2 linked regions of the Oryctolagus cuniculus genome follow. The protein of the gene in region 1 purifies or fractionates together with the protein of each later gene. This does not show direct contact. Links are inferred from orthologs where the notes say so. Each region holds a gene or a part of one and is shown in the gene's direction. Other genes may lie near its edges. The genes, in order: AP3S1 and AP3M1.

Region 1 (6,737 bases):
AAGTGTGTACTGTTACAGCAGTTCAGTGCAAACGTTTTCTAGTTTTGATTAGTTGAATTAGGTGAGATAATTGCTACCCATGTTAGCTATTAATCTAACTTAAAGAATTTCTTTTGAAGCTGTGCAGTCTGTTTTTCTTTTTAAAAATCTTATAAGGGCATTTTATTTAAAATTAATATGTTCATATTGGAAACATTCAAATGTTCCAGGGAAGAGTAAAATATTCAATAAGGGTCTCCCTCTTCCAGCCTTTGTTCTTCGTCCTGGTTTTACATTTCCTTCCAGAAAACAGATTTTGCACCGACCAGCATTTGGAAGTGTAACCTTTTTACTTCTGAGATCACACTGTGTATGCTCACTTGTTGTTGTTTGGTTTACTTCATCTTAACACTTAGATTTGTAAAAATAATCATTTTATTTTTTGAAAGGCAGGGAGAGAGATCTCCCATCTTCTGATTCACTCCCCAAATGCCTGCAGCAGCCAGAGCTGGCCTAGGCCAAAGCCAGGAGCCAGGAATTCTGTCTAAGTCTCCCAGCATGAGTGACAGGAACCCAGGTACTTGAGCTCCTGATAGTTCCACTGCTGCCCTCCATGGTGTGCGCTAGCAGGCAGCTGGAACTCGGAGCAGAGCTGGAGCTGTCACCACACGCTCTGATGCAGGACACAGGTGTCCCAAGCATTGCTTTAACCGTGGTGCCAAGTGCCTGCCCCTGTGTAATGTTTTAACAAGTTCTGCCTGTGAGTACGTCTAAGGCAGCCCTTACTCTTTTTTAAGACTAAAGAGTATTCCTTAGGGTAAATGTCCATAAAAATTTGGATTGTATCTTTTATTATTACAAGTAAAACTGAGGTTTATTTATTTATTTTTGACAGGCAGAGTTAGACAGTGAAAGAGAGAGAGACAGAGAGAAAGGTCTTCCTTCCGTTGGTTCACCCCCCAAATGGCCGCTACGGCTGGCGTGCTGCGCCGATCCGATGGCAGGAGCCAGGTGCTTCTCCTGGTCTCCCATGGGGTGCAGGGCCCAAACACTTGGGCCATCCTCCACTGCCTTCCCGGTCCACAGCAGAGAGCTGGCCTGGAAGAGGAGCAACCGGGACAGAACCAGCGCCCCAACCGGGACTAGAACCCAGTGTGCCGGCTCTGCAGGTGGAGGATTAGCCTAGTGAGCCTTGGCGCTGGCCCTGAAGTTTATTCTTCTAACGTTTCTGTCTTTGCACTATGTACAGATGAGAATTCAGCTAAAAGATTTTTTCTATTAACATTTCCATTACTTATAATTAGCTTGCAAAATATATAAGTAAATACTTCTGAATTAATGGATTCCATGAAAGTAGTTTAATTCTAAATGTTTTCATAAATGTTGCCTCTTCTTTTATATAATTAATATACTTAATAAGATAGTTCCTTATTGATATTTAAAAATAAACTTCAGCTGAGATTTGTAAATAGTCACAGATTAGAGAAATTTGTATTTTTCTGTATTTTGTGTATGGTGCATGTTATGAAAACTAGGTCAGATAGCAGGGAATCCATTTTTACCTGACTTTAAGTTACTTTTTATCATGTGTAGTTCGTTGTGTTTCTTAAGTTCTATCCTACTGCACTTAAATGTATGGTTCACACTTAAAATAGGTATAAATTTTGTTACCAATGCAGGCTTCTGTTTTAATAGTCGAGACAAATGTACCTGCTTCTGACTTTGAATTTCACTTGTACCTAATTCTCTTAAGTGTCTGTTCGGGTTTAATAGTGTTTGCCTTTACTATCACTTCTTGTCATCCCAGCCTCTTAATTTCTTCCCTCCCAGGAAATGTGTCTCCTAGCACAGTATATTGCATGCAGTAGAAAAGCAAGATGGAGCTAGCTAGAGTACTGTTTAAACCAGAAATCAGGGCCTGGAGTTATGATTATTCTTTCCCAACTTTTTATTTTATTTTATTTTTTTTAGTTTTTTTTTTTTAGTTTTTTGAAAGGCAGAGTGACTGAGGGAGAGGAAGAAAGCAAGGAGAGAGAGTTCCTCTGTCTGCTGACCCAGTGCCCTGGGTACCCTCACCCGCCTGGCCAGGCCAAAGCTGGAAGCCAGGAACTCCCTCTTGGTACTTGGAGGGCAGGAACCCAAGAACGTGGGTCCTTATCTGTTGCCTCCCGGGTATGCACATTATCAGGAAACTGGATCAGTAGCAAGGCAGGATTCCATCGCAGGCAAACACCTGCCCTCCAACCTTTTGAAAAGTAGAAAATAGATATTGCATCTTAGTCAGTCTCAGTGTTATCACCATCAAGTTTGTGTCCCTGGTCCAGTCACTTTAATTCTTGAAATTCAGTTTTCTCCACTAAGATAAACTATTTGGACTGAAGTTTATGGTTTTATATGGTGACTTACATTCCGTACAAGAGTTTGGGGTAGTGTTATACTATAATTTCAAGATAAAAATTCTTAAATACTTTTTAAAATTTTATTTGAGAGACAAAAGATCCACTGGTTTTCTCCTCAAAGACTTACAGTGGCTGGGGCTAGGCTGGGCTGGGCTGAAGCTAGGATCCAGGAATTCACTCCAGGGACCCAATTACTTTATCCATGCTTGCAGCATCCTAGAGTCTGTGTTAGGGAAAAGGTACCCTTGCTGTGGTAGTATTTTTGCTGTCTTCTGTTAATGTTAATGGCTGTGTTGGAACAGCTTTCAGAGGCCAGGTTTCCTCCTTTTAGAGGAAAAACTCAAGGTCGTTGCTGAATTGCTGTTTGTGAAAGCGCTGTCTGTACTCTTTGTATCTCTTTAGAGAAACAGTTGCAATCATAGCCCATAAACATGATTTCAGAATCTTTGAAGTGCATGTGTATACTTTTAAGTTAAATACCTTTCCCAAAAAAGTATCTAACATAGTAGGAACTTTGGTTTCTTGTTAGGGGACACAGATGTAGTGCATACACAGAGAAGGTGGGAGCTCAGGGGTTAACTTGACTCAAATGAGAAATGATGTCTAATTCCATATGAATGTTTGATTAGCTTTGACAACATTTAACGTTACTTTCTAAATTGTTAGTGTGTAGGGGTCTTTTGAGAAGGCAAGCTCATAAACTTAAAAAGTGTGAAAGCTTAACTATATTTAAATTCCAGTCAATATAAATAAAAGTATTTGATGGAAGAACTGAGTAATAACTTAATTCTCTTGCATTTGTACTCAAAACAGCATATGTTTTTGTAGGCGACCTAGATGGTAAATCTGTCCCAAATTTAAGAACTTTCATTCTTTTTTTTTCCTAGTTCATAATCAGTCTTAAGCTGTGTAACTTACTGTGACCTGTGGAGTTAAATCTAGTAAGCACTTGCAGACGCCCTCTGTCCTAATCTCTGCTTCTTCTGACCTCACTGTCACTAATCTCTCCTTGTCTGCTGGCCTGCCTTTTCTTCTACTCCTTCTCGCTGCAGTGCCCTTTTGTTAGTTGCACCTGGCGCTGACATGCTCTTCTCTGAATCCCTGAGGCCCACGGCACTCTCCTCATCTCCCTCACCTCCCGGCTGAGGAGGCCAGCCCCTCTGGAGGCCTCGCCCTGCTTGGGTTCTCTGTGTGGCACCTTCCACTGACAATTTTCTTGTTAGTTGCTCTGTATCCATCGTCAGTGCTTGACACATAGAATTAATCACTGAATAGTTTAACGAATGAGTGAACTAAAATTAAGCTTTTTACTTTGTCTCTAAAGAAAATAGCTGTCTTAATTTGCTTAGTCTCAGAAGTAAGTTCTCTTGAATGCTTTGCCACTAAATGTTATGTTTGGTTAATAAAAGATTTTTAAACACATTGTCAGTTTGCTTGAGCTAATGAAAATGTTCTGTGTTTTGTTCCCTATAACATTTCACTTGTTTTGTTTTGTCATTTAGATTAATTGGAGGATCTGACAACAAACTGATTTATAGACATTATGCAACGTTATATTTTGTCTTCTGTGTGGATTCTTCAGAAAGTGAACTTGGCATTTTAGATCTAATTCAAGTAAGTTAACATTTGCCTCTTACTGTCTTAAATAACAGTTTGGCATTTATATTTTTAAAAACTTACATTTTCTAAATTTTCTAAAGTGATGTTTTGTTTGGTAAGAAAGTGTCCACAGTAGATACGGGGTGGATCAAAGAGGGACAGGGGATGTAGAACAAGTAGATGGGGGCCGGCGCTGTGGCTCACTTGGTTAATCCTCCTCCTGTGGCGACGGCACCCCATATGGGCGCCGGAGTCTAGTCCCGGTTGCCCCTCTTCCAGTCCAGCTCTCTGCTGTGGCCCGGGAGGGCAGTGGAGGATGGCCCAAGTGCTTGGGCCCTGCACTCGCATGGGAGACCTGGATGAAGCTCCTGGCTCCTGGCTTCGGATCGGCGCAGTGCCGGCCGTAGCAGCCATTTGGGGGGTGAACCAATGGGAGAGAGACCTTTTTCTCTCTGTCTCTCTCACTGTCTAACTCTGTCAAAAAAAAAAAAAGTAGACGAATTTAATCTGATTTAGACCAGTTATGACTAATTCCATCTGTTCCCTTCTCTTTCTTCGTGTTTCCTGAAAACCTTTCGTGACGTCCTGGAACTCCAGGGCTGTGATGAGCAGACTCCTCCTTGTCCTTAGCCTCTTCCATGCTGCTCCACTTTGATCCACGTTAAATCCTGCCTTCTCTGTTACACCACTTCCGGCACTCTCAAGAAGTAGCTCTTTGCCCTCTTGTTCTTTTTGGTTTTCACTGGTTTTTCCAGAACGGGTTGTCTCCTGAAACATCTCCACATTTTGTCTCATGTTGTCAGCTCTAACTCCTACCCATCTGCTTGTGGTTCTCTCTCTACCTTCGATCCTTTGGCGGTTTCGTCAGGAAATCTTATCCAGCTTGGAAGCCGAAAACTTGACCTTTATGATTAGCAACGTAAGCATTAGCCACAGTAAATAAAAAAATAGCACATGAGCCAAAGTACAAGCATTTGAAGAGGGGCACACACTGTGGGTTGAGTTATGAGTGAGGAACCCTGACCTTAGAGAATTGAACTCTTCTATAATTAGCACTGTTTCTTTTTTTTTTTTTTTAAGATTTTAATTTTTTTAAATTTGTAGTTTTTGGCAGATTCAGTGTAGTTTGCAGATGCAATTCTAGGATTATAATGCTATTCCCCTCCTCCCTCACCCCTCCCACTCTGTCTCTCCTACTCTCCTCCCTCTCCCTTTCTTTCTTCACTTTACTGGTTTTTGAGATAACATTTCAAATTTACATTACAGTACACTGTCTTTGCTTCCTGGGGGAAAGTAAGCCTATCCATAGTGTGCTTGCAAGGAGAGCCCAGAGCAGAGACCACCATGCCTCTGCTCACAGTCTGTGCAGGAATACCCCACCCGTGGAGAATTGTCGCCCACTGGACTTTGGCTCTTAGTTTACCGACATTCACTGCCCTGTTGGAATTCTTGGTGATTTCATCGTCGATGTATGTAATTCTCTCTATCCTGACGTTTTTAGGCCTGCATCTCCTCTCCTGTGAGTTTTGCTCTCTACCCCTTCTCACTGCTCATTTCCACACCGTGCTTTTAATCCAACTGAGTTGCCTCCCTATTCTTATCTTCACACCTTCCTTCCTTTGTGTACCACTTCTTTTTGTATTATTTGTGGGGAGCAACTCGGACTAGACTGTTACTGGAATTAAGACTTATTCTATGCATCTGCTCTCCCACAATATGGCGCTGAGAAGGGAGTAACAACTACACAGCTGCCTCTCGCCAACTTGAGTGATGACCTGCAGGAGCTGATCCTGCTCCTGATTGGAGGAGAGCAGCGTACTCGGCGTGTGGGTAGCAGAGTTGGGATTGGTGGAAGAGGACTATAAAGGAGGAGAGAGACAACATGCACCAGGGAACACCTGAGAAGCACCTGTGCAGCCCCCGAGAGAGCCGGCCGGCGGTGTGCCGCTCCCCTGCGGAAGTGGGGAAAGTGGCAGGGGGGCCTGCCCCTCCACGGAGGTGGAAGGGTCGGTAGCCAACCCGGGAAGAACCAGCAGCAAACCCGGGGAGGGCCGAGCAGACAAAAGAACAGCGCAGGGTCCTGTGTCTTTCCTCCGCGAAGAGGGGGAGTGACAATTATTCTCTCTATTACTATTATTACTTTCTATTACTATTATTATTATTATTACTATTACTATTATTATTCTTTGTATTATTCTTTCTATTACTCCCAACAGATTTTTGGACCTGTTGGGATCCACAGTTTCCAAGTGAATGTCTTGTCTTTCCTGATGTCTGACTTTGCTTTTCCGGCTTAAATGCCATCGTCACTTGTGATTCATGATTGTGACCTTGTATACGCTTATCTCCTTGCCTGTGCCGGCACATACGAAGATACCAGTGGAAGAAACTGTCACCATACTTGCTGCTTTCACTTTAAATTCATGATCTCTACCTTAGCCGGTCCTTAATGGTACCTGGAAGTCGTATTTCCCTGGTCCATGTACTTTCCATCTGCCTAGATGACTTATGCATACATTGTCTCAGTCCTTTAGCACTTAGCACCTTGCTTGCTTCCTGGAGAAACAAATCAATCTGGAGAGACTGTCCACGGCCCCCATGGGTGCATCTGTGCCCTGAGATCTGGAGAGACTTTGCACGGCCCCCATGGGTGCATCTGTGTCTCTGAGATCTGGGGACTTTGCACGGCCCCCATGGGTGCATCTGTGTCTCTGAGGTCTGGGGACTTTGCACGGCCCCCATGGGTGCATCCATGTCTCT
Region 2 (6,737 bases), on another chromosome or scaffold:
AAGTATACCCCAAAGCAATAGAAGATGGCCCAAGTCCTTGGGTCCCTGCACCTGCATGAAAGACCCAGAAGAAACTCCTGACTCCTGGCTTCAGATTGGTGTAGCTCTGGCTGTTGCAGCCATCTGGGGAGTTAACCAGCAGATGGAAGACCTCTCTCTCTCTCTCCCTCTCCCCCTCTCTCTGCCTCTCTGTAACTCAGCCTTCAAATAAATAAATTAATCTTAAAAAAAAAGAAAGAAAGAAAAAAGAATACCCATAAAATGTGCAAGTATTAAATGTTTATCAAAAAATTAGTAAAATTATAAAGTATTTTTAAAAATCTAGTCCCATCATCACATTTTATATGTAAACTGAGGCTGGGGCTGGCACTGCAATGTAGTATGTTAAGCATCTGCCTGCAGCACTGGCATCCCATATAGGCGCCAGTTTGAGTTCCTGCTCCATTTCTGATCCAGCTCCCTGCTGATGGCCTGGGAAGGCAGAGATGGCCCAAGTTTTTGGGTCCCTGCACCCACATAGGAGATGCTGAAGAAGCTCCTGGCTCCTGACTTCTGGCTTCGGCCTGGCTTAGTCTCAGCCGTTGCAGCCATAAGAAAGAAAGGAAGAGCCTTAGAAAGGTTGAGTGATCCACTAAAGGTTGTATTTGATATGTGATGATAATTAGTGAATTTTAGCCAATATCTTTTTTTTAATAGTAATTGATAAAGGGAAAGGAATCCTTCCTTTCAGCTTTGCTTTTCTTTTTTTACAGATTTGTTTATTTATTTGAAAGAGTTACACAGAGAGAGGAGACAGAGAAAGAGATTTTTCCATCCACTGGTTCACTCCCCAGTTGGCCTCAACGGCCAGAGCTGCGCCAATCCGAAGCCAGGAGCTTCTTCCAGTTCTCGCACGCAGGTGCAGGTGTCCTAGGACTTGGGCCATCTACTGCCTTCCCAGGCCATAGCACGGAGTTGGTTTGAAGTGGAGCAGCCGGGTCTCGAACCAGCGCCCATATGGAATGCCAGTTCTTCAGGCCAGGGCGTTAACCTGCTATGCCACAGCACCGGCCCCTAGCCAATATCTTTTCTTCAGTGATTACTCTTTCCACTGTAGCATTCTGTCTACAGAAAAATAGATCATAGCTTCTATTTTTCTTTTTTTAAATGTTTATTTATTTATTTGGTAAGTCAGAGTTAGGGTGGTGAGGGTGGTTCACTCTGTAGATAGCTGCAACAGCAGGACTGTGTCAGCTCAAATCCAGGAGCTGGGAGCTTCATCGTGTCACCCATGTGGGTGGCAGGGACCCAGATGGAAAGTGGAGCAGCTAGAACACAACCTGGCACACGTATGGAGTGCTGGCATTGCAGGTGGCAGCGTTACCCACTACATCACAATGCTTATCCCAAGTGGCTCCTATTTCTTAAAAGTTAGGAAGTAGTTTGCTGCATTTCCTAATAAATTTCCCTCATTTTTCAAGTCTGTTGTAACAATTTAAATTCATATCAGTAGTCTTAGAAGGTGAACTCTCTAAAGGAGATAGGTTTGATTTTCATTAGCATTATCATATTCCAACCAGAGTTAGCTACAGACCATGGCACTAAATGAAAAGGCTTTCTGAACTGGTGTAATATATCCCCTGTCCACTGACCTGTTAATCGAGGTGCAAAGCTTCAGCAAGTCTGACACCCAGGGGGTGGCTCCATTACTCCAGATATAGTGATAGCTCTGCTAAAGACTCAGATTCCATTGATACTATCAATCTTTTTCTTTCTTCAGGATCTACAGTCTTTGCAGAAATTCAGGGGGTCATTGATGCTTGCATTAAGCTATCAGGAATGCCCGATCTCTCCCTATCTTTCATGGTAAGTTTTGTTTTCTTGTTTGCAGCAAAGGGCTACATTTATTCCTCCAGGTGGAAATTTCCAACTCATAATAGCATACATATGAAATACTCAATGAAGCGATAAGTACTACAACTAAATATTAAATGAGGTGATAAGTACTTTAGATAAGTTTGTATCTAAGAGTGTAAAGGATCATCTGAGAAGTATTGCTAGCATAGCAGCTTTCAGGACAGTAGTTTACATGATGAGCCTGGCCTTTATGAAAAGGCTGAGAAGTCTTTGCTTAGATGTGCTAAAAGTGACTTAAAAGTTAGCTGGCAAATCTCTACTTTAGTTTTCACTGAATAATTATCTGCTTTACTAACAGGAAAGGGCACTGGACTTTGTCTTATCATTTTGGACTTAGCATACCACACTGCAAAGAACAATGAAAAGAATTGAGTTATGGTGCTCTTTTACCAATTTGTCCTGAACCTCAGTTTTTTTACCTATGCAATGGAACTAATATTATTCATCTTTGCTCCCTGGTAGTTATTGAAATTCAAATAATGTATATAAAATACTTGCAAATTGTGAAACGTTTAAGGTTCTGTGGATGTCATAATAACTAATAAATGCTCACATGACTTTTATCTTTTTGACACATAATAACATAGTTAAGGGCTACAGCGTGATAATACATTTACATAAACAGTGTATAATGATCAAATCAGTATAATTAGCATTTCTATCTTCTTAAATGTTTGTCATTCTTGCTATTGGGAACTTTCATATTCCTCTCTTCTAGTTCTTCATAAATCACAAATTGCTGTAGTCAGCCTACTGTGCTAGAACTGCAGAACTTACTCCTTCTAACTGTATTAGGAGATCCATCTTAACAGCCTCCCTCTGTTCTCCACCACCTTACTCCATCTACCTCTGGTAATCACTGTAATTTTTGGTGAGATCGACTTTAGCTTCTGCATATAAGTGAGAACATGTGGTATTTGTCTTTCTGTGCCTGGTTTATTTCATTCATGACTGCTTTATCTTTAGAAAAAATACTAATATCTCATAATACTGAACAGAGTTACCATAGCTGGTATACTTTATGAACCTGGCTGTCTTGTGTTTTCCTGGCAGAACCCCAGGCTTCTGGATGATGTCAGCTTCCATCCCTGCATCCGGTTCAAACGCTGGGAATCTGAAAGAGTTTTGTCATTTATTCCTCCAGATGGAAATTTCCGACTCATATCCTACCGTGTCAGCTCACAAAAGTATGTTGATGTGTCAGCCAGAATCTTCCATCATGTATCAGTGTACTGAATAGAACCTACTTTGCCTTGTTTCATTCTACACTTGGCTACTTGAGTTCATCATGGTTGACTTAATCACAACTCAACAAGATACCCAAAGAGAGGCCGGCGCCGCGGCTCACTAGGCTAATCCTCCGCCTTGCGGCACTGGCACACCGGGTTCTAGTCCCAGTCAGGGCGCCGGATTCTGTCCCGGATACCCCTCTTCCAGGCCAGCTCTCTGCTGTGGCCAGGGAGTGCAGTGGAGGATGGCCCAAGTGCTTGGGCCCTGCACCCCATGGGAGACCAGGAGAAGTACCTGGCTCCTGCCATCGCATCAGCGCGGTGCGCCGGCCGCAGCTTACTGACTGCGGTGGCCATTGGAAGGTGAACCAACGGCAAAGGAAGACCTTTCTCTCTGTCTCTCTCTCTCACTGTCCACTCTGCCTGTCAAAAAAAAAAAAAAAAAAAAAAAAAAGATACCCCAAGAGAACTGATGAGAATACATGCCTGAAATAATCTGTACCTTGAATCTAAGAGTACATAGTAGCAGTAAATAAGACCATAGCAAAGCCTATGCCTGAGAACAAGCATTTTGGACTATGCATAACCAGAACCCGGAACTGGTACCATAATTTTATCAAAGTCTGTAGACATTTGGCCAACAGAAGGAGACAGGCCTTACCTTTAGCTCTGCAGACTTGCCCAACATGCCCACTTCAAGTCACTCTCTGCTGCCGTGAGTTTCAAAGGAACAATTCAGCATCGTAGCTTATATAGCTATTTTTTTCCTTGAAAGGATCTGAGGGTATTTGGGTGGTATCATCAAGACAGGACTGAAAAGCAGAGAAATGTTTCTTGGCTCTCATCATTTATATTAAATTCTAAATTACCTTTCAGTGGGATCTTTTTAAAAACTAGAACCATTTGTCTCAATTGCTTACACTGTTATTAGGCTTCAGAGTTGGGTTCTGATCTGTATACCTCCTGCTGAGAAATGATAGATTTCCTAGACCACAGTGGTACCAGAATGTGCTATACCCAGCTTTCCTTTGTGCAGATGCTAAAGACGCAGTTTCAGAAATATGGATCCCTACTGTGGAGTAGACGCAGGGTAGAATACTCTGGACTGGTATTTTCAGGGCAGCTCTGAAGGTATCCTAACCATTAATTGTGTATGTATATGCTTTTGTGTCTTTTAGTCTAGTGGCAATACCAGTGTATGTGAAACATAATATCAGCTTCAAGGAGAACAGTTCCTGTGGCAGATTTGATGTAACGATTGGACCAAAGCAGAATATGGGCAAAACTGTTGAAGGAATTACAGTGACAGTTCACATGCCAAAAGTTGTGCTGAATATGAACCTGACACCAACACAAGGCAGCTATACCTTTGATCCAGTCACCAAGGTACAGCCACTTCAGATCAAGAGTGAGCAAGTGTTTCCTGAAATCTCTTTTGTGATTTGGGGGAAAGAGTAGAGGGGAGGTTTACCACCTTGTTTAAAACTAAAGTTCCTATCCAAACCAAACAAAGGTCATACTAGGCTGTATTTCTGCCACTGGCTGTAGAGAGAATCCCACGTCTGCCCCTGAGTAGATAAACAGAGACGTGAAACTGACTCTATCTTCTTTCAAAGTACCTTTACTCATCTGTGATAACCCAAAGACTGTCTCTACTAATAAGAATGTAAAGGCTTTTTTAAAACAATTTATTTATTTATTTTGAAAGGCAGAATTACAGAGAGGCAAAGGCAGAGAGGTCTTCCATCCGCTGATTCACTTTCCAGATGGCTGCCATGGCCAGGCCTGGGCCAGTCTGAAGCCAGGAGCCAGGAGCTTCTTCCAGGTCTCCCACGTAGGTGCAGGGGCCCAAGGACTTGGGCCATCTTGTACTGCTTTCCCAGGCCATAGCAGGGAGCTGAATTGGAAGTGGAGCAGCTGGGATTTGAACCAGTGTCTGTATGGCATGCCAGCGCTGCAGGTGGCAGCTTTACCTGCTACGCGACAGTGCTGGCCCCAGTAAAGGCTTTTTTAAGTGTTTTGTGGATATATGAAGATACTATAATCTATTGTTAGATCTTTCTGTAGAAACCAACCATTATTTTGTTCCTTTTTTTTAAGGTTTATTTACTTATTTATTTGAAAGGCAAAACAGCAGAGAGAGGGGGTAGAGAGAGATCTTCCACCTGCTGGTTCACTTCTCAAAAGGTCCTGCCAAAACCAGGAGCCAGGAACTCCATCCTGGTCTCAAAAATGGTTGAGGGACCCAAGGACTTGAATCGTCTTCTGCTGCCTTGCCAGCCTCATTAAATACGCAAGCTGGATCAGAAGCAGAGCAGCCAGGACTCAAACCAGCACTCCACATGGGATGCCAGCATTAAAAGCAGTGGCTTAATCCATTAGGCCACAATGCCAGCCAGCCCCCTTTTAAAAGTTCTTCATTTCATATTCTTCCACAGGAGACATTGTTCTGCCTATTTACACATGCCTATAGCGGAAGATTATGAAGCAACTACAGCATAGTCATTGAACTGCCTGATAAAAAGGCTTTTTAAAGATGTATTTATTTATTTGAAACTCAGAGTTACATAGAGGGAGAGATAGATCTTCCACCCACTGGTTCATTCCAAGGGCTGGGCCAGGCAGGAGCCAGGAGCTTCCTCCAGGTTTTTTACATGGTTACAGGGCCCCAAATACTTTGGTTATCTTCCATTGCTTTCTCAGGTGCATTAGCAGGAAGCTGGATTGAAAATGGAGCATCCAGGACTTGAACTGGTGCCCATATCAGATGCCTGCACCACAGGTAGTGGCTTAACCCACTGTGCCACAGCGCCAGCCCCAAAAAGGCATATTCTTTAAAAAGATGTATTTATGTATTTATTTGAAAGGCAGAGTGACACAGAGCTTCCATCCTTTGATGCACTTTGATATGGGATGCTGGTGTTGGAATTAGCAGCTGAACCCACTCACGGTACCCAAAGACATTTTTTTTTTTTAATTAAAAGTCATAAACTGTTAAACATTATCTAACTCCATCCCAGGAATTCAAAGAAGCTCCTCAGAAACAACGCGGGACTGGGAAAGGGGGGCTCCGGATCTCGTGCCCTTCCAGTGTAGCTTCAAACAGAACAGCTTCGCTTTCTCTTCTGCATCGAGCTTCCATGCTTAAGATTTCACTTGAACTTCTACAGCTAAAAATTTTCAAATACCAACTTAGATGATTCTCCCTTTACAGAAAAAGAAACAGGCTCAGAGAGAAGCAGTGAAGATGGTATAATAAAAAGAACATTTAAAATCAGATGGGATTTGTCAACTTCCAACTTGCCTTTTATTAGCGTTAAGCAAGGAATTTGACATCTGGAACCTTAAGTTCCTCATTTGCAAATAGAAAACAAGTTCAAGTCACATGCTTGTTTTTTATTTCTTTTTAAGGTACTAACATGGGATGTGGGAAAAATTACTCCACAAAAGCTCCCAAGTCTTAAGGGATTGGTAAATTTACAGTCAGGAGCACCTAAGCCAGAAGAGAATCCCAGCCTCAACATACAGTTCAAGATTCAGCAACTTGCTATTTCAGGTAAAAGTGTTTGACTTTGTTTAAGGGTAACTAAGTTTCACTGAGCCCAGTTATTG

The links.
Region 2: the proteins of AP3S1 (region 1) and AP3M1 purify together in Homo sapiens (co-immunoprecipitation; 4 studies listed by BioGRID and IntAct, counting the BioPlex papers as one, with this or other methods). This does not show direct contact. The link is inferred for Oryctolagus cuniculus from reciprocal best matches to the Homo sapiens genes AP3S1 and AP3M1.

Annotation. Positions count from the first base shown.
Region 1 is NC_091437.1:6,074,074-6,080,810, forward strand, and holds part of AP3S1 (AP-3 complex subunit sigma-1), read left to right. Parts: intron 1-3,880; coding exon 3,881-3,992; intron 3,993-6,737. UniProt on the Homo sapiens protein: Part of the AP-3 complex, an adaptor-related complex which is not clathrin-associated. The complex is associated with the Golgi region as well as more peripheral structures.
Region 2 is NC_091446.1:65,184,997-65,191,733, reverse strand, and holds part of AP3M1 (AP-3 complex subunit mu-1), read left to right. Parts: intron 1-1,759; coding exon 1,760-1,845; intron 1,846-2,949; coding exon 2,950-3,083; intron 3,084-4,303; coding exon 4,304-4,511; intron 4,512-6,536; coding exon 6,537-6,681; intron 6,682-6,737. UniProt on the Homo sapiens protein: Part of the AP-3 complex, an adaptor-related complex which is not clathrin-associated. The complex is associated with the Golgi region as well as more peripheral structures.